Regions from separate parts of the Mus musculus genome. Here all the other regions are reported to be linked to region 2. The links are microRNA targets in miRTarBase. Many come from high-throughput screens and were not tested one by one. Region 2 holds a microRNA gene; each other region holds the end of a gene's coding sequence.
The links. Region 2 holds the annotated microRNA mmu-miR-324-3p (CCACUGCCCCAGGUGCUGCU, at 3,592-3,611, opposite strand). A microRNA usually pairs through its seed, bases 2 to 8, with sites in the 3' UTR of a target mRNA and lowers its output. Matches are read on the target gene's strand: a 7mer-m8 pairs with bases 2 to 8, a 7mer-A1 pairs with bases 2 to 7 and ends in A, and an 8mer does both.

Region 1 (5,000 bases), not on the chromosome of region 2:
TGCCAGGTGTTTCCTCTGGTGGAGGACACTACCTGGCTGTGCCCAGGAAACAAGCCCCAGAGAGAGCCGCCTCTCTCCCCAGTCTGACTGGCTCTTCAGGATGATGTTAGTGTCTCTGAGTTTCTGCAGGGAATGGATTTCAGGACACCGCCCCCCCCAACAGCCGACAAAGTCTGCAGGTGCAGAAAGTGATACGTTCTTTATACATTGTCTCTGCACACCCTCCCTTATGCTTTAAACCATCTTTAGATGACATATGATGCCTAGTGGAACCGAAAGGAGCCGTCCATACTTGCAGAACCGTGTTGTTTGGGGCAAAATGACCAGGGAAACAGTCTGTACATGTGTAAGTCAGAGGCAGTTTGGGAAGGATACTTTTTATCTAAATGGATTGGATTGGCGATGCAGAAGCCAGGACTATGGAAGGCTGGCTACATTCGTAAATTGGAAAAGGCATCTGATGTTCATTGGCGTGGCCGTTAGGACTAACAACCTCTTGCTTCTCTCTTCCCAGCGCCACTTAGCCCCAGAAGTATTTTGGGAGATCTTTGGGATGTCCATACAGGAATTTGACAAGTTACCTCTTTGGAGACGCAACGACATGAAGAAAAAAGCTAAACTCTTCTAAGTCCCTCGAGTAAACGACAATCAGGAAACGAACTCTCAGTGGCGGTGGTGCGTAGAACATTATGCTAAGGCCCAGAACTGATCAGAGAATTTGTTCACCACCGTCTCCAGGCAGCAACGCCAAGGGCAAGTCTGATCTCAGCACCCACGAGCCACATCCTGGGCCAAGCAACAGTAACCCTTGCCAAGCAACGACGGGGTAGAATTTCTATGTTCCCAAATTCAGCAGTAACGTCCACATGGGACCTTTTCACGTGACTCTGTGGGGCTTCTTTCTCCTTTTCACTTTCCCCTTTAACCCATGTCTGACTTAGTGCTGCCTGTGTTGGTAAGAGTCAGCAAGTGCCCTTAGGAAGCCACACGGAGGGGATGCTGGGAGTCCTGACATATGAATCTATTTATTATGTAGTACTGTGGCAGAGAAGGAATCCAGGGGCCTGCACTGATCGGGTAGCAGCTACTTTGCCTGTCCTTGGCCGTCTCCCTCAGCTCTGCCTGGGCTCCGAGGGAGATGGAAGTCCGTCAGGGAACAGGTAGTTCTAAGTGCGTGGCTAAATGATTTGGACAAGCTCCTGTGTGTGCTGAGACCTGGCTGGCCAGCTGCTAGAGGGGAAAAACAATTAAGACAATGGAAAAGGAAAAAGGAATGAAGGAACCTCCCTCCCTGAAAGCTTTTCCTGCTTCTGAGACTGTGTTCAGCCCTTTCCCCTATAAATTGATAGGAACTGTGTGTCCACCTTTCCAAAGAAAGGAAAGACAAAAAGAGTTTCCAGATTGGCCCAGCTGCTGATAGGTGATTTTTTTTGCCCATGAATCATGTATCTCTTAGAGAAGAAAATTCTATGCCCTACCACATCACAAGATCTCCTCCTCAGTGTCTGTCTGTCTGTCTGTCTGTCTGCCTGGCATCTGATGGGTCAGGTCAAGCCCGTGCTGGTTTTGACTAAGGGTAGAGACTAAGGGGAGACTTGTTTTTCTGAAGTAGACTGCTTTCACTCGGCCTGATGGACAAGCCCGCGTGTGTTCACGTCTGTGTGTAACTCACCCAGAGCAGATCTGTGAGTCTCGATGTGCTTTGTAATCTCTGCTTGAGTGTTGCCCATACTGGGCTGTGGCTTTGAAGGTCATTTGCACAAGAGCACGTGACCCAGAGATGGAGAAGTGAGGTTCAGGGAGGGTGCTTAGAGACCAGCCTGTTCTTTGAGCTGTAGAGACTCATGCTGGATTCAAACTGAGAACCCTGGAAGGAAGGCCAGGCTAGTTTAGGGCTCAGCGCGTCTCACCAGAGCCCTTCCATACTCTGTGACTCTCAGTGTGAATTGGAATGCAATTCTTTCCCTAAAATGTGTGGAAAAGGCCACATCATGAGGACTGGTGTGAGTTGGGGTAGGGTCCCCAGAGTCTCAGGAAAGAAGCTAGATCACACTGATTCTCCTGCCGTGGATATGAGTTAAAACCAAGTGGTAAAGCACTTGGATTCACCCCCAATGACCACTCAGCACAAAATGCAGAAATTCCTTCTGAAGGACTAAAGCGACCAGCTGTCTGCCACACCTGCAGTAACACAGAGCAACAGATTCCCAGCCCGTGATGAGAGCCTGTAGCTCGTGACACACTTCTTTGGGTTACTCTGCTACATTTCTGTAAGAGAGTTAAGTCTGAGAACTAGTCTCGCAAGTGTATCTGTTAGTACACTCTGCAAGAGGACTGGACTGCTGGCCTAGGTATATGGATCTCACGCCTCTTGGGGAGACAGATTGCAAAAATGGGTTCCCTGCATGTCTCCGGCTTCTTCCCATGTTCTCATTGTTTTTCTCTAGCTACCCTACTCATCACTGGCTCCCTCAGCACCAGGCCTGTATAACGTGGTTCTCACGTTACCCTGGCAGCATACAGGATGGGGAGTCTGGTGTATTCAGTGTTCACAGTCAGCAGACATGGTGACCTGGTGGGAGACTTTATTTATCCAGTGTGGTGATAGCATGACCCTCCATGCTTCTTACTGGTTAATGCTATTTCTCACAATGATGCAGATTAGGAAAATTGAAGTATTCAGGAAACAGGGGTGGTTGCTAAGGTTCCGTACCTGCTCTTTATAAATTTATAGTGGCTTTATCCTGACATAGGAAAGTTCAGCTGCAGGGGAGGAGGAGGAGACAGTCTTCCTCTTTAAGTTACAGAGAGCCGTAAGCTAAAGGACCTGCCTAGGATTATAATATTTGAAGAATGAACTTTTAAATTCTTGCAATAACGAAACCCTGCCTCCTTGACTATTTGAACTCAGTTCTCCATCTAAACTGGGAAAAAAAACAAACAAAGAAACAAACAAAAAAAATAACATTCCGTATTAGCATAGTAGTCCAAATTGTATCAAGCAAAAAATGTATGGCTAGACAACACCAGTAAGAATCCTGCTGCTCTGGGGGAGGCGGAAGGAGAGCTGGAAAGTCTGGAGTATCGCTCCGTTCCCTGGCAGAAGGTTCCAGCCAGGAGGATGTGCTGAAGATGGTCTGGTCCTAACTGCCAGACACAATGTCCGTGACATTAAAGGCTCCACATGATTGACCACAGCATGGGAGAGCGGTGTTCTTCACTCGACTCCACCCTGCTGGACACAGGAAAATTTCAATTGCTAAAAAAAAATCAAAGCACTCATTCACTTGGGGGGAGGATCCTACGCAGGGGGGACTTGGTGCGTATATTAAGGGCTATATTTTTCTAGCATTTGACCTACTTGCGACTTGATACAGATTGCATAGCCTGAAAGAGGCTTCTGTGGCCACCTGGGAGTCTCAGTGTTTTCTTCAAAACTTCTCCAAGAGAGTCCAGGCTCTCACATCGTCTTCCTGTGCGACCTATTAGAGAGATGAAAAGCCTTTGAAAACAGCTAGCTCTGCATTTTCATACTAGTGTAGAGTTTGTTATGAAATATTTTTACTATGACTCCTTCAACAACTAAATACGAACTGCCTGTTCTCTAAACCTCAAGGAGAAAAACTGGAGTTAATGGGTAATAAGGTGCAAAATAAAGGGGTAAGGGGGGAGTTTTCTATCTGTCCTGTTCTCTGTTATCTCCAAGTCCTGATTCTGTTGCCTCCAGCCCGAGCCTCCTCTCCTCTTCTCTCCCGAGACACAGCCTCACCCGTCATTTCATTCTCTATCCACTGTCTGTCACCTCCAGCATGGAAAGGTTCAGCTGGAGACATTTCTGAAACAGACTACTTTACTTTGAAGCAAACGTCTTTTTTTTAAAGATTGCTTCACCAATGATGCTGTCAGATATATCTGCTTTCTCAAGTTTAAAAGAATTCAAATTAACTTCCTTTGAGTCTTTGTTAAAAGAGAAAATAAAAAAATCTCAAGCAAACTTGGAGTGGCAGTCCAGGGCATGTCGCAGGAGCAGGAGTGGCTCCAAGCTGTGCTCTCCATGAACTCTGGCTCTGGGGAGATTTCTAGTAACTCTTCAATCTGTACTTTCTGTGCCCGCCTCGGTTTTGAGTTGCATTTTTTTTTTCTGTTGTTAGACAAACCAGGGCTTTGTATGCTTGAAGTTCACTGTTTTGTGCCCCCCTTTGAAGAACTTTCTATGCAGAAATAGATGGTCAGGGTTTCGGATTTGCAGTGATGTGTCTTCCGGTGGCAATGGACAGGGAAGGAGCACCCATGTCCACTGGAACGGGAGAACAAGCCTTCGGCATCTACAGGGTTACTGTTTGCATTTTCTACCCACAAGCAGAAGGAGACAGTGACAATGGGCAGTGGATAGCCCTCACTCGTGAGTGTTTAATGTTGCAGCAAACTCACCAAGAAGGAGACAAATGGCTGTTTCGAATGGAAGCTTTCTCAGCAGACAATGTGTGCACAGTAAACTTCAGCAGAGTCCACTTGTTCTCCCGGAAGCTTAATGTAATTGAATGGCAGTTATCACTAAATAAAATTCTTTTCTGAGTCTCTCCCGAGAGTGGCAGTCCTTTGAATCGCTTCCCAGGGTGAAAGATGGAAAGAGATGAGCCTAAGGATACCAGGTTCAAAACGGTTATGACCATACACACAGGCATTTTACCTTATGGAAGAGGAGACAGTTGTTCATGGAATTGATGGGGGAGGTAGAGGGGGTCCTCTAACAAATATGTCTGGTGGTGAATGTGAAAGCTTTCCATGAGATGCCAAAGACCCTACATCGAATTTCCTTGAAGAATGGTTCACGGGATTTCTGTCCCTGATGAAAGACTGCCCATTCACCTTGGTTCCCTCCCCTTGTGGCTAAACGAAAGCAAATGTCCGGAAGTCTTGAGAAGCTGTGTCGTGTTCCCTGTGGAAATGAGTTGATGTGTGCCAGTGCTGAGCACCTGGTATTGAGGTACAGAGGAGGG
Region 2 (5,414 bases):
ATATTTTCCTTTCTCTCTTTTAACTTTAGCTAGGAAGTCCTCCCTCCAGTCTACCTCCAACCTTCTAGTCATTTAATTCTTCCTTCTCTTATCTAATCTCTTCCCTTTTTAGTGGATCAGACTTTAGTTTAGACCAGCGGCTCTATAGAGTTTGGGAAAGAAAACGGATCGTTTGAAGATGGATCACCCTAGGTCAGGTAGAATACAGGGACCGGGCACACGTCGGAACTTCAGCTCCCACCATGCATCGAGGCCCAAGACCACGCCCCCACCACGCAGTGCATTGTGGAGCATGAGTCAGGGCCCAGACACACAACCTTTGGGCAGGCGAGACGCGAAGAGAAGAGGTCAGTGGTCAAGACTTCGGCGGCGGCTTTGGAGATGCAGTCGGCTCGGATGACCCCGAGTGTGGGGCGACAGCTGCTGCGGCTGGGGGCCCGAAGGTCCGTATATAGCAAGGGGACACTGGGTCTGGGAACCAGGGCAGAACTGAACCCCGACTCCTTACAGCTCGCGATCTACTACTGTGCTTCAGGGACAACCCCGGCCTATCTCTGCCCAGCGACTTTATGCCAGGGAGGCCACTCAGGTAAGTGACAGTGGATGAGGGAGACGGACGTAGAAATGCGAGTTGCCAGTTCCCACTAGCCTGCGACCGACAGGGGTCTCTCTCTTCGACCCAGTCACCTGGTGGCAGTTCTGTCACTGAAAGTAGGGGAAAGGGCACGCCAGGGTGCCCTAGTGAGAAAGTAATGGAACATGCACCAAACGCACTTCCTAGAGCTAGCGCTTCCTGCACACCTTTTAAGACCCATCTCCAGCCTAACTGCTCTGCCCTTCCCTCCAGGCAGTTCTGGACAAGCCAGAAACCCTCTCCTCTGATGCTTCCACCAGAGAAAAACCAGCCAGGGCAGTAAGTGACTGGAAACTGGACTGACACTTAAAAACCAGGAGTAGAATCACCCCAGGCACCCACCTAAGATCCTTTCCTTCCTTGCCTAGGAATCGAAGTCCTTTGCTGTGGGGATGTTCAAAGGCCAGCTTACCATTGATCAGGTGTTCCCATACCCATCTGGTAAGTAAAGGCTTAGTCAGTCACTGACAGTGTGGGCAGGGGAGCCCTCTCTGCCTGACTAGCCTGCTCTTCTCTCCCATTATACAGTGCTCAGTGAAGAACAGGCACAATTTCTCAAAGAGCTGGTGGGACCAGTGGCCCGGTTCTTTGAGGTAAGGGATGACCAGAGCTCAGCCCCTCCTGGGCTAAGTAAGATGCTAAGGAGCTTAAAGGAGCCTCTGAATATGAGATTCTTCCTATTCCTTGCTCAGGAAGTGAATGACCCTGCCAAGAACGACGCCTTGGAGAAGGTGGAGGACGACACTTTGCAGGGACTCAAGGAACTGGGGGCATTTGGCCTGCAAGTACCCAGCGAGCTGGGTGGTTTGGGCCTCTCTAATACCCAGGTGAGAGGATCCCCCTGGTTAACATTCCACAGTGCTCCAGTTTTGGTAGACTCACCACTAGGGCCAAGCAAGTAGCCAGAGTAGTGTCTACCTGCCTGCCCTTTTTCTCACACATTTTCCCCTGAAACATGATCTGTGTGCAGCCCACTAGGACCGTGGACCTAACTGTGGTTCCCAGGTCTTTGGGGACTGTGTGAGGCAACACAGCAGGCAACCTTCCCATCAAGACCAAGGGCAGCTGGGCACAGTGGCACTCATCTTTAATCCCAGCATGGAGGATGGAGGCAGAGGCGGGCGGATCTCGAGTTCAAGGCCAGCATGGTCTACAGAGGGAGTTTCAGGACAGTCAGGGAAACCCACAAAGTTTCAGGCTAGCTGGAGCTACAAAATGAAACTGCCTCAAAAGGGGGGGGGGGGATTATCTAAGCCCTTTGATGTTCCTGCTCCTGTCTCCTTAGGAAAGACTCCAGGGTTTCATGCTAGAGAAGCAGCCTACCTGGGAGCCCCATGGCCAGCCTCCCTGTGCCCTGTCCAAACCCACTCCACTCCCCATGCTCAGAGTAGAGATGCTCCAAGCCCCAGGCCAGGTCTGCCCTGCTGCCCATTCTTGTTGAGGACAAGTTCAGTGCAGCCAGCTACAATCCCAGATGCCTCCTTTCCCTCCAGTATGCTCGCTTGGCAGAGATTGTGGGCATGCATGACCTTGGTGTTAGCGTTACCCTGGGAGCTCATCAGAGCATCGGTTTCAAAGGCATCTTGCTCTATGGCACAAAGGCCCAGAGAGAAAAATACCTTCCCAGAGTGGCATCTGGTAAGGCAACCTTAAGAGACCCAGGGGTAAGGAGTGTGACACTGCTCACGGTGTTACAAGGAACTGCCTGGGGATGAGGGGGTGCAACTCTGGTGGTCAGGATCCCCAGTGAGCCCGTTCTCTCCCCCACAGGGCAGGCTTTGGCTGCTTTCTGCCTAACAGAGCCCTCGAGTGGATCCGATGTAGCCTCCATCCGAAGCTCAGCCATACCCAGCCCCTGTGGAAAATATTACACTCTCAATGGGAGCAAGATCTGGATCAGGCAATCTTCCGTTTCTCTTCTACCCTTCAGCCCAGTGGCCTGACCCTGCTGCTCTAAACCCTATACTAACCACCTCACTCTTCCACAGTAATGGGGGCCTGGCTGACATTTTCACTGTCTTTGCCAAGACGCCAATTAAAGATGCAGCCACGGGGGCCGTGAAAGAGAAGATCACAGCTTTTGTAGTGGAAAGGAGCTTCGGAGGGGTTACCCAGTGAGTATGGGGCAAAACAGAATCAAGGATGGGGACAGCACTGGGCTCTCAAGAGCAAATAGTCAATACAGGCCACGCTGGGGCTATCTCTGTACAAGAGGCACCCACAGGAGGTGAGCAGTTTTGTTTCCACTGGGGGAACACAGGCTAACAGGCCATAGCTAGATATCCGTAGCCCCTGGGGCACATAGGCAGTGCCCTGTATCCTTTTTATAGTCTGGGGAGTTCTCCCCTGATCATGAGACCCGAAAAGGCCGTTTTCCCCCACAGCAACCTGTTCATACCTCAACTTTCCTGCCCTGCCTTTTCAGTGGGCTCCCTGAAAAGAAGATGGGCATCAAAGCATCTAACACGTCAGAGGTGTACTTTGATGGAGTGAAGGTGCCATCAGAGAATGTGCTAGGAGAGGTGGGAGATGGCTTCAAGGTTGCTGTCAACATCCTCAACAACGGAAGATTCGGGATGGCTGCAACCCTCGCAGGCACCATGAAATCCCTCATTGCCAAGGCGGTGAGTCCCAGCCCAGTCCCTAGCTAGCACATGTCCCTGACTGCCTCAGAGCGCCGACACACACACATGCACACTCGACCATCGGCACAGTTAGGCCTCCAGCCCGTCCAGGTGGAAACTGAAGAACCACAGTGGGGTAACATGCGCCCTCTTGCAGGTTGATCATGCTACTAATCGTACCCAGTTTGGGGACAAAATTCACAACTTTGGGGTGATCCAGGAAAAGCTGGCTCGGATGGCTATTCTGCAGTATGTGACTGAGGTAAGGGCCTCCTGGGCCCCTTCCCTGGAGCCCTATGGCTTTCTTCACAGTTGGGTCAGACTACAACCCCCAGCAGCACCTGGGGCAGTGGGTCTCCAGCTTTACACCAATGCCCTAGGGGATGCGAGGAGGCATAGTCAGTTCTCTTCTGGAGGGTGGTGCTGCTCTGCTAAATGCTGCCCAGATGCACCAAACACGACTTTTAACCCACCCCTTTACAAAGTCGGAAGCCTCGAAGCCCCTGATATACCAGAGGGTCACATATTGGACATATTTGACCTGACCAGGAGGCTAAAGTGAATTCAAGGGTTGGAGGAGTAGATCAGCACTGGTCTTGAAGGTCTGAGCATTAGCCATTCTGTCTGATGCAGCCCTTCCCTGTTGTCTTCCCCATGTCCCGACCATGCTCCCTTAGTCCATGGCTTACATGCTGAGTGCCAACATGGACCAGGGATTCAAAGACTTCCAGATAGAAGCCGCCATCAGCAAAATCTTTTGCTCGGTGAGGACCCAGGTGTGATGGGAGGGCGGAGTCCAGATTAGGACCTCAGCTCAAAAATCCAACTCATCTGGTTCTCTGTCCTCAGGAGGCGGCCTGGAAAGTGGCAGATGAGTGCATCCAAATAATGGGGGGCATGGGCTTCATGAAGGTACAGAGTATTCCTCGGCAGGGGGGGGCATCTGTTCAGAGTGGACAGGCACATCTCAACAGAGGTTTCTGTGTCTTCCTGCGTGCCAGGAACCAGGGGTGGAGCGTGTGCTCCGAGATATTCGAATCTTCCGGATCTTTGAAGGGGCAAATGACATTCTTCGACTGTTTGTGGCTCTGCAAGGCTGTATGGTAAGAGGAAGGAGGATGAGAGAGAGCAGCTGGGGAGGACACTGAGTCCTCACTGTCGCCGTCCCCCTTCTCTCCACAGGACAAAGGAAAGGAACTCACTGGGCTGGGCAATGCCCTGAAGAATCCTTTTGGAAACGTTGGCCTCCTGATGGGAGAAGCAGGCAAACAGCTGAGACGGTACCTCATGGGCCGGGGCCAGGGTCAGAGTCAGGGTCAAACAAGATGGGAGGCCGCAACTGACCAGTCACTCTTCCATCTCCTCTCAGGAGGACAGGAATCGGCAGTGGTTTGAGTCTGTCAGGGATTGTCCACCCAGAGTTAAGTCGCAGTGGTGAACTGGTGAGTGAGCCTTAAAGCAGAGCCTGCGGTGGCTGTGCGCTGCCTTCCTCTCCTGAGCTCTGTCTGTGACTCTTGTCTCTTCAGGCAGTGCAGGCTCTGGATCAATTTGCCACCGTGGTGGAGGCCAAGCTGGTGAAACACAAGAAAGGGATTGTCAGTGAGTGAGCTCTGCAACCCCCTTCCCTCCCTGATTCCCTCCCTCCGACTAACAGCCCCACCCTCATCTACCTGACAGACGAGCAGTTCCTGCTGCAGCGACTGGCGGACGGCGCCATTGACCTCTATGCCATGGTGGTGGTTCTGTCCAGGTAAGGCGGCAGCGAGGGACGCTTGGCAGGCTAGAGCCACAGAGGAGCTGGGCCAACACCAGCACTCAGGATCATTTTAACCTCTGTTTCCTCACAGAGCCTCAAGGTCCCTGAGTGAGGGCTACCCGACGGCACAGCATGAGAAAATGCTCTGTGATAGCTGGTGCATTGAGGTGAGCCTTGGAGCTCCCCAGTACAGGTGGGCCTTGGAGCTCCCCAGTACAGGACGGCCTGACCGTCCCTCCCCTTCCCTCTCCCCAGGCTGCAACTCGGATCCGAGAAAACATGGCCAGTCTGCAGTCCAGCCCTCAGCATCAGGAGCTCTTCCGGAACTTCAGAAGCATCTCCAAGGCCATGGTGGAGAATGGTGGCCTGGTCACCGGTAACCCCCTGGGAATCTGAGACT
Region 3 (5,000 bases), not on the chromosome of region 2:
CTCAATGAGAAACCCTGTCTCAAAGAGTAAGGTGTCTTTGAGGAAGACAGCTGACAGTGACCTTTGACCCACACCTACCTACACATGAACACATAGAAAGAGTGAGCCTTATTCTGAACTGTGGACCTTGTTAATGATGTATTGATACTAACTCCATGGAGACCACCCACTGACGGTGCCCTTGGGACCCCCCTCCTTTCCTCTGCAGGGCATCCAGATCGTGTGTGAGACTTTGACCGAGTGCTGGGACCATGACCCCGAAGCCCGTCTCACAGCACAGTGTGTGGCAGAGCGCTTCAGTGAGCTGGAGCATCCGGAGAGACTCTCTGGGAGGAGCTGCTCCCAGGAGAAGATTCCAGAAGATGGCTCGCTGAACACTACCAAATAGCTTTTTCTGGGCAGGCTGGGCCAAGCCTCCAGAAGCCGTCCTCTAGCCAAAGACCAGAGGCAGCAGGATTCTCTCCTGACTGATGCTTCTGGAAAACCAAGGACTTGCTCCCTTCTTCCCCAGGAGCTGCCCCGTGTTTAGAAGCGGCAGCAGCAGCAGCAACAACCATAGCGGCGGTGGCAGCGGCGGGGGATGAGTGACAGAGAGCGTCCTATGCCTTGGAGACTGTCATGGCATAAGCTGTGCTAGCACCTCCTCAGGAAATGAGATTGATTTTTACAACAGCCAATAACGTTTGCACTTTATTAATGCCTGTGTGTAAATACGAATAGCTATGTTTTATATATATCTATATATCTATATGTCTATATCTCTCTATATATAGCCATACTCTGCAAGGAGACAAAGAAAATGATCAAATGTGTTCCCCGGGGAATTAGTTTTTATTGGAGAGCTCTAGAATGGAGCAGAAGGGACTCGGGATAGCGTTAGCACTTGACAATCAGTCACACAAGCAACGATCCCCTGACAGCAGGGTTGGGGGCACAATTGTATGAGAAGGATCCATGCCTTGCAGCCTGCTTTGGCCACAAAACACTTTGTTTTGCAATAATGACCCTCTACAGTAGGGTGCTTTATGGACCAGGGAGCTGAGCTCCAGTCCAGCACTGAGTCCCAGGATCTCCCATGTGTCTTTGCTTCTCTTGGTTGTTATCTTTGACATTCAAGCCCCACTCTGACTTGTGAACCTTCTGACTTAGCCTTGAAACTTGGCCCCATTTTTCTGCTTTTACGGGCTACCAAAAATCAAAGAAGACCGTTCCCCACCCATGAAATTGGCCTACCATCTACTAATAAGATTGAGTTCTTTGATCCTTTCCTGTGCATAAGTAACTGTTATTTGTTCCCTGCCATTATCCTTTGTTGATTTTTTTAAAACAAGGCACACCCTACACTCAGCCCCTCAGCCTCACTGTGTTTAATTTTTGTCGCTCTGCTGCTGGGTCTTCCAGCTTGCCATGGCAACACCAGTGGGTTCCATTATCCCAGCCTCCCAAATAGCGGACAGGATTTGAATGGCGCACGCTGCCCATACTGTACAGCTGTGTCCGGGGACTCTTTGAACCCTCCTTTTCCTCGATCAACACACTGTCGAAAAAGTTAGTTGAGCTTCTTTAGAACTATTTGGGAGGTTGCAGAGAAGCTTAGATTCCCCAATAAGCAGAGGAGGTGGTTCCTAGCTCCGCCCCCAGGGGGCATCATTTCCAGCAAGAAGGGCATGGCTGCAGCTGCCTCACTGCTCACTCCTAAGCCTCCAGACTTCCCATTACTCACACCCACCCCAGTCTGGAAATGAAAGCTGCTTCCAGTCAGGATCCATTGTAAGAAAAGTGCGTTCGTGAGCATGGAGAGATAGCAAGTAAAAATGGTTGCACCACAAGCAAGACGACCTGAGTTCAACCCCTCCAGAACCCACGACAAAAGTCATGTTCAGTGGGGCACTCTTATCATCTCAGCCCTGGGAAGACGAACACCCCTGGAAGCCCAGGGCTAGGAAGATTGTCTCCAAAGCAGGGTGAGCAGCACCCTGAGGAACATCTGACATTGACTGACTTCTGGTCTCCATCACAGGTGCACCCACGAACACCCACACACACGTGCACACACTAGAAATGTGCATTCATTTCACCCTGTTCTGGGAACAGATTGGATTGCACAAAACTTATCTGATGTTATGATTTGAAATTGACATAAATTGGACATCAGGAGACCACCTGTGTGTGACCTCATTAGGTCAGGGCTCTTTGTATGCATAATAAGTTTCATCTGCCTCTGCAAGGGAACCTCTCTGCTCTAAGAATCTTTCTTTATGGCTACTGGTCTCTGCATGGTCCTAACCTTGGCAGAAATTACAAGTGCATATTTGAACAGGGGTCACACAGGACTCCTGTGTAGAGACAGGGACTCTGTGTCCACTTGGATGAGAGCAGGGAATGAGCTTTAAAAGGAAACTTGTTAATCCCCCAACAAATGTGGATGTTGCAAACCAAAGTCTGTCTTGTTAAGAAATTGTGTTTTTGAAGCGACTTATTTTCAACCAAATAGGAGCATGATTGGAGAACCACCAAGGGGGCCTTTTGTTCTGTTTGGTCAACATGGTCAAATTGGGGGTAGGACAAAAATCTATGTGTTCTGTGGCTTCGAACACCATGGAAACCCCCAAGCCCACTTGCTTCTTTTGGATTGCCAGTGCTAACCCAGTAGCTGTTGTTCACCGCCCTCTAGCGGGGAATTTACAGAATGCTGGTCCACTAGTGGGATTTCTAGGGTTCAAAAGTGACTTCACTTCCGGGTCATCATCAGAAACTGGAATATGGTGTCATGTTACTGTGGCTTGTTTTGTTTATGTCATTTCTTTTCTTTATTCAAGAAAAAGACCAAGGAATAGCATCGCTGTCATTCCTCAAAGTGTTGACTCTTGTTCACTACTCTACATAAAGGGAAAGTTTTATTCTTTTATTGAACACTTCGGCCATATTCATGTATTCAAATAGGAATGTGAATGAATGCACAATATTCTTTTTATATCAAAACCTAAAGCACTTATTTTCAATCTATGCAGTGTTTGTCTTTTATATAAATAAAAATGTCTAGTAGATCAAATAAATCCAAAGTCCGCAGACCACCTTGCCTCTTGTTGCTGTCCCCAGTAGCTAAACCCACTTCACACACCAGACTATTCTTCAGCATGGCCAAAAATGTCCTTTTGTGCTCTTCCACATGGATTGTCCATGAGTAGTACTGTGAGCGCATTTCCCTGAGCAGATGTGCCATGTCTGATCACCTCAGATTGTGTCACCAGGGACAGAACAAAGTAAAGATCCCGTCAAAGTCCCACTTGTCAAGCAAACAAGTTGTCATGCTTACTAACAGAGTCTGATACAGGGCAAGTTCCAGGAGTGTGAATCACCCACAGAGTTTCACCCCCACATGAACGCTGACTTCCCCAGAGCTGCACAGACTAAGCGCCCTTCTGTTAGCCTCCCTGTCCCCACACACGCTAGCTCATCCTGAGACCATAGAATCACTTGCAGCTTGGCCAGAAAGACAGACATCCGGGAGGAAGGTATAGAAAAGTGTGGGTGGGATCTAAGGGAAGGGTCTGATGACCTCTGCTTCTGGGAGAGAATATGGCAACAGCCCCGTCTTGGAGGTCTCTTGTGGGTAGTCACAGTGCTCTGATGGAGACAGCTTGTGGAGTGTGTGAGTGTGAGCGTGTGTGTGTGTGTGTGTGTGTGTGTGTGTGTGTGTGTGTGTGTGTCAGGGGTGGGGTATTTTACAACAGACTCATGTCTCTTTAAAAACAATCCAGGAGAGATAAGGCAGTTGTATAAGCATGAGGAAATGAGCTTGGCCTTCAGATTTGAGGCAGAAAAAGCCACAGGTGATATAATATGCTTATAACACAGGTGATATAATGTAATTATAACACAGGTGATATAATATGCTTATAACACAGGTGATATAATGTAGTTATAACACAGGTGATATAATGTGCTTATAATCCTAGCTGGAGAGGCAGAGATAGGAACTCCTCAGAGCTTGCTGGTCAACCAGCCTAGCCTAACTGAGCCCCAGGTCAGTTAGGTCAGTGAAGGGACTGTGTGAAAATCCAAGTGTACAGGCCTAAGGAGTAACACTGGAGTTTAACCTCTGACCTCCTCACTCACATGTGCACATGTGCACATGCATGCCTACACATGAACACACACACACGACCAAAAGGTAATCCTCAACAGAAGCTCACTAATAAAAGAGGAACAGTAGCTAGCCCTTGGCAGCCTGCTGTCCCCTATCTCTGTGGTCTGTTCCTGAGCCCCTGTGTCCTGGCATGGTGGCTCTTGGTGTGCCAGCATGGCTTCTCTCTGTCCCAGGAACTGCTTTGGCCCATGTGGCTATTTATTCCAGGACTGTCACAGCGATGGCTGCCTCAGAGAATGTGCATCTGTGTGCGTTTTCTTGCCTCTGACTAGCATGCCAGTGATTGCCCTGGGTACCCTTTGACAGCCCCATACATAGCTTTGCATTGGTGTGTTGAGCCTGCATCTTGGCTGGTAGTAAGTTGCTGCTTTGCATAAAGGCGGATTTATAGGAAAATCCCAGATGGCATTAAGAACACAGAAGGATGTGGAAGAGTGAGTGGTATATAGATAGACCAGGGAAGGCTCTGTCTGTGTGAGCGTTGGCAGTATAAACAGAGCACACACTCGATGAGCATTCACCCATCAGGCCAGGGAGGGCAGGAAGGCACGCACTCCCAGGGGGAAGGACTGGATTGTCAGAACACAGGCTCCTGAGATACAGTCTGGGGCAAAGCCAAGTTATCCAGGACCTAAAATTTTGTGCAACCAAAGTGCCTGCTTTTCTGTATTTCTTCTTGTCTCCTGATGAAAACTGGCCAGCGCGATGGGACTACATCGGGAGGCGACATACATGAGGAAATGCCCGGTAGTCCATGTACATGTCTTTCTATCTCTGTGCCCATAGCCATCCCGTTTTGCTCTAGGAGAGCCAGAATGTTCTTTTTTCTCCACTTAATTTACCCAGCACT
Region 4 (5,000 bases), not on the chromosome of region 2:
TTATTGCTACTGTCTTTCCATTACATGTAAGCTTTGGGGGGCTGGACAAAGTGGCCCAGTGGTTAATAACATTGTTCTTCCCAGTGCCCACATCGGGAGACTCACAACTGTCTGGTACTTCAGGTCCAGTGATCAAACAGTTTTGGCAATGAACAAATATGTATTCTCTCTCTCTCTCTCTCTCTCTTCCTTCTCTCTCCCTCTCCTCCCCCTCCTCCTCTCTCACACACAATACACACACAACACACACACACAAACAATAAAAATAATTTTTTCTAAAAAATTACACTCTTACTAGGCAGTGGTGGCGCACACCTTTAAACCCAGCAGAGGCAGGCAGATCTCTGTGAGTTTCAGGTCAGCCTGGTTTTCAGAGTGAGTTTTAGGACAGCCAGGGCTACATAATGAAACCCTGTCTTTATTCAGGGCCAAAAGATACACACTGGTTACTGTTGTCAGCCTTGAAGCAGCATCTAGGGGGTCACCGACAGCTTGACTTTCTGAGCAGTCCACACACTTGTCTTGTGGGTCTCCATCGGTTTGACTCTTCCACATTTCCACGTAGCAGGATTTGGCTGCTGGGTTTCAACGCCTCCTTCCCAAGCAGGGTTCCTATGGGATGCATTTCCGGAAGGGCTGAGCTTCGGAGGACTGTCCAAATGGTTATTTTAGTATGGTCATGCTGCTTCCTGTCTGCCGGGAACCATGGAGGTGCAGATGAAACCTGTAAGCCAGCTGACTGTTGGAACACATCCTGACCAGAGGTCAGTTAACCTCTGTGATGGTAAATTTTTGTCAAGTTGATGCACACTAGGGCCAGCTGGCAAGAAGAAGCCTTCATTGAAGGCACGTCTGTGGGGGCATTCTTTTGATTGATGATGGATGTCGGGGATCCAGCCTGCTATGGGTGGCACCACTGCTGCCCAGGGGATTGTATAAGAAAGCAGGCAGAGGTGCCCACAGAGCAAGCCCAGCAAACAGTGCTCCTTTGTGCTCTGTGTCCATCCCTTGCCCAACTTCCTTAAATGACGCTGATTGGTTTTAATGTCAACTTGACACTAATTGGACTGAATAGGGAACCTCATCTGCAGAGCTTCTCTGATTGACGTGGGAAGGTGCACCCCAATTGTGGGCTGTGTCTTCAGGCGGCAAAGGGTATTTCAGAAGAAACTTTAGTTTGCCTTTCTGCCCCGTGGTCTCCCTTCTGGGTACCCGGTTGATTTACCCTTGCTGCGGACAGCTGCACTAGCGTACACCCAGTTACTGTCTTGGGATAAACCACCCTGGGCTTTAGAGGCAGCAACTCCCCAGCCAGCTCGGGGTCTGGTGGGATGTGTGATTATGTAGGTTTCTGGCTCCCAGAGCCATCCAGACCCAGGCATTAGCACCCTTCGTGAGATGGTTCTGGGATGTGGCAGACTTGGGCCCACTGAAAGGTGACATGACAGGAAGCCCTCTGGAGCACACACCCCCTCCCCCGCCCTCCAGAGGTTGGCACTCTCCTCCCCTGGATGTGGAGCTGGGTAGCAAACGCCAGAGTATCTTACTAAACTGTTGTCCTAGGTTTCTGTCTGTTTGAATTTCGTTGTTCTCCTGCCTCAAAATCTAGCTCTCAGCTTGCAGCTTGTAGGTAAGCACTGAGCACACATGCCTGCCTGCCTGCCTGCCTGCCTGGATACCTACTGTTGGAAGTATCTGGGGAAACCTGGGCTCCCTAGAACCCTTTGTCTCCTAACAGCTGTATGGTGTTCCTCAAGTTGGCCAAGGAACGTCTCATGGGTAAAATGGGAACTTAGAGAATAATCTGGCAACCTCGAGGGATTCTTATGAGCAAGTAAGTCCCCCACTGTACCCTAAACATGGTAGAGCTTTGCTAGTAACATTTGTCCTTTTATATTGCCAAGATTTACTTTTCATTATTTATGTGCTCGCATGTTGTATGTACATGTGTGTGATCATGTGCATGTGCATGGCTGCAGATGCCAAAGAGTTTGCTGGATCCTTGAAGCTGGAGTTACATGTGGTTGAAGGGGCCTCCGACAACAGCAAGCGCTCTAACTGCTGAACCGTCCCTCCAACCCTCAGTCAGTGGGAAGCTTACCCGTGCAGACCTCTGCTCTTTCCCTGGTGTAGAGATTGTACGACTTACTTTTGCTCTCATTTCCTAACTGCACAAGAGAGCCTGCTAACCAACAGGGCTACAAGGCCAGGAACCAGCTCTATGGGCCAACTCTAGCTGTCTAGGAAGCCCTAAGAGGAAACCCATAGTGACCTTGCTGGTTCTGATGAAAAGCAGGGAGGGCTAGATTAGAAACCACACTATAGGACGGTTCATACTCACAGCACAGCCCATCCGCAGGGCGCTTTGAGTTCTTCACATGTAACTCGCCTCAGACACCATAGGACGGTTCATACATACAGCACGGCCCATGGAAGGGCACTTTTGAGTTCTTCACCATGTAACTAGCCTCAGAACATATGTTCGTAGCTCCCTGTTGCCTAGCAGTCCTTTGTCTGTAAAATCCTGGAAATAAGGACAAGAAAAGCATGCCGGAGCAGGAAGGACCACCAGGGGAGTTAGAACCCAGATGGATGGATTGCAGTGTGCTGCTATTGTTCCGGTGTAGACTGTGGGTTCTTTCTGGAGAAGCAGTAGGAGACTTATCATTGGAAAAGGGTCAACAGTTTGTTAAAAAGAGAAATGCCAGGCGGCTCAGTGGGTAAGAGCACCCGACTGCTCTCCCGAAGGTCAGGAGTTCAAATCCCAGCAACCACATGGTGGCTCGCAACCATCTGTAACAAGATCTGACGCCCTCTTCTGGAGTGTCTGAAGACAGCTACAGTGTACTTACATATAATAAATAAATAAATCTTTAAAAAAAAAAAAAAAGAGAAATGCCTTCGGTGTGTGCAAATCTCTGCCTCCTAGACTCTAGAGTCTTTTAGTCAGTCCCGAGGACTCAGTTTCCAGACCGTACTGCTACCCGAGGCTGGCTTCTCTGCCTCTGCGTGGTTCCATCTCCCAGTTTCAGATCCATCCAGACAAATGGTGTAGCTGAAGTGCAAAAGACCCTTTCTTGGTGGGTAAACTGCTTCTAACTGCCTCCTCTAGCCTCCTGTCAGCTGCCTCAGGTTTCAGGAATGCAATACTGGGCATTCCTGCAGGTAGTCTAAAGCCCTTCCTGTGCCCAGCACAAGGCCCATTTTTGAGAAGGATGACAGCAGAGTGGACGTGTGGGTGGCCTCCCTGAGGGCTCTATGCTGTCACAGTCACTCAGCTGGAAACTCCACAGCCCCTCAGAGGCCGAGTACTGATACCCAAGGTTTCAGGTGCACGTGGACACGGTGAATGGCCAGAAAATGTTAGCAGCTTTTCCTCCGAGGCTGTTGTGTTTCGGTTAGAGGTGAGGGAAGCTGCTTCCTGGACGAATCCCAAGAGGCTTCTGGGTAACTGCCTGTCAGGGACCCTCTATGGTCACTAGGAGGATTTTAGTAGCCCACAGCTAGCTCTAGTCCTGACAGGCCAGACACCTCTTGACCCATCACCTCAGTGGCACCATGGACAACCGTGGTGGGAAATGCAGCTAGTGTAAAAAAGCAAAACAAAACAATTCAAGGCTTTTGAAAAAAAGCATCATTTATTTCAAAGTACAACACAAAGTTGTATTTTAAGAAATACACAATCTTGTAATGTCAAGACTTGGCTATGTGCATTTCAGTTTATCTTTAAAATAAATTCAGGTATACAAATGGTACATACCTCAAGTACAAACAGCACAGAGTGCCTGTGGTTCCTGCTGGGCGCTTTACATCCAGCCACTGCTCTTACGCTGGCTTACATTTCTGTAATCTGCTTTTAAGCCAAGACAGCCTTACTTTAAAAAAATACTCTGTATTTTCAGCACAAAGTCCTCGTACATTTTTAAAATTAGATCTTGGCGCATAATATTGTGAAATTATTAAAAACCAAACTTGGTAATTTAGTAAAATTGTCACATGCCAGGACTTGTCAATCAATTCAAATCACTCCCTTAACTGTAATGCCAAATTTGTGTTCTTACAGATAAAGAAGGCAGGAAGAGACAGGTGGGGACTGGGTAAGTCAAGATTTCAGGTGGACAGGCTGTAGTAGTTTGTGGCTGAGTCCAGACTTTTGTCTTTAAGCACAACAGCAAATCTCAGAGTATCATAATTGCAAGAAAGATGTGAGAGAAGCCAGTGCACCAAGCCTGCCCTGCGAGGAGGGGAGAGGGCTTGAGGCAGTGAGGGCCTTCAGAAGATGTCTTGGAAACTGGCATATCATGATCTAGATGAGGGGCCCCCACTTCGTTTTTTGCTTAATTTTAATTTTCATGAGGGAAGTGCGAATTAGACCAAGGGTCAGAGCTTCTTCTTCCGACTGTGGGGCTCCAGATCCGCCAGGGGTTGTAGGTCTGTCCCAAGTCGTCAGCTGGGCCAGAGGCGGAAGGGGTGTGGGCGGCGGCAGAGTTTTCCGTGCCCATGAGGCTGATGCTCGACAGCGCGTTTGTTGGAGTGGAGAAAGGAAGGTTGCTGTTGATGTTGCTGGACCAGATGGAGCTGCTGAATGGAGTGGTGGACCACAAGCCGCTGCTGTTGCCAAGGATGGACTACGAAAAAAACAGAAGGAACATAATATTGAGTGTGGGGTGAGCAGGGCCGGCAGGGGACAGAGTGGTCCACAGACTTCTCCCATTTTTATTGATTTTAAAGAATACTCCAGACAGTTAGCCATAGCTCTGATATTTTATTGCAGGCTGACACAGCCTGGCTGGTGGACCCAGTGCAACCAGCCTGCTTTCTGTGCTTTCTGTGTGTGGGTCTCACTGAGGCAGGCGCCTGCGTGGGTCCTGGCCACACTAACTTGTATCAAGATGCAAAGCCCACAGTCCGACTGACTACCTGGAGTGTATAGAGAATTTGCTGGTCTGCTTTTAAGAGTGGCCACGTGCTATAAACGGGAGTTAGGACTATTACTAAGG

Region 1: miRTarBase lists Ablim1 as a target of mmu-miR-324-3p. Seed matches in the 3' UTR shown: 7mer-A1 at 4,246-4,252 and 7mer-m8 at 4,382-4,388.
Region 3: the mRNA of Tgfbr2 is a reported target of mmu-miR-324-3p. The part of its 3' UTR that is shown has no 7-base or 8-base seed match.
Region 4: the mRNA of Tmem131 is a reported target of mmu-miR-324-3p. The part of its 3' UTR that is shown has no 7-base or 8-base seed match.

What each region holds. Positions count from the first base shown.
Region 1 is chr19:57,032,852-57,037,851 of GRCm38, reverse strand. It overlaps Ablim1 (actin-binding LIM protein 1), which reads left to right. Exons shown (of 26, transcript NM_178688.4): 26 at 515-5,000. The coding sequence ends at 628. Among named protein-coding and RNA genes, the nearest start is that of Afap1l2, 27 kb to the right of the region's middle.
Region 2 is chr11:70,010,292-70,015,705 of GRCm38, reverse strand. It overlaps Mir324 (microRNA 324), which reads right to left and starts at 3,663; the gene lies at 3,575-3,663. Acadvl (acyl-Coenzyme A dehydrogenase, very long chain) reads left to right here and starts at 278. Exons shown (of 20, transcript NM_017366.3): 1 at 278-443; 2 at 511-589; 3 at 848-913; 4 at 1,003-1,075; 5 at 1,163-1,227; 6 at 1,327-1,461; 7 at 2,128-2,272; 8 at 2,405-2,534; 9 at 2,623-2,748; 10 at 3,060-3,258; 11 at 3,416-3,520; 12 at 3,936-4,022; 13 at 4,108-4,170; 14 at 4,260-4,361; 6 more. The coding sequence starts at 382. The coding sequence ends at 5,410.
Region 3 is chr9:116,085,766-116,090,765 of GRCm38, reverse strand. It overlaps Tgfbr2 (transforming growth factor, beta receptor II), which reads left to right. Exons shown (of 8, transcript NM_009371.3): 8 at 209-3,071. The coding sequence ends at 388. Among named protein-coding and RNA genes, the nearest start is that of Gm31014, 34 kb to the right of the region's middle.
Region 4 is chr1:36,788,578-36,793,577 of GRCm38, forward strand. It overlaps Tmem131 (transmembrane protein 131), which reads right to left. Exons shown (of 41, transcript NM_018872.2): 41 at 3,612-4,628. The coding sequence ends at 4,344. Among named protein-coding and RNA genes, the nearest start is that of Zap70, 29 kb to the left of the region's middle.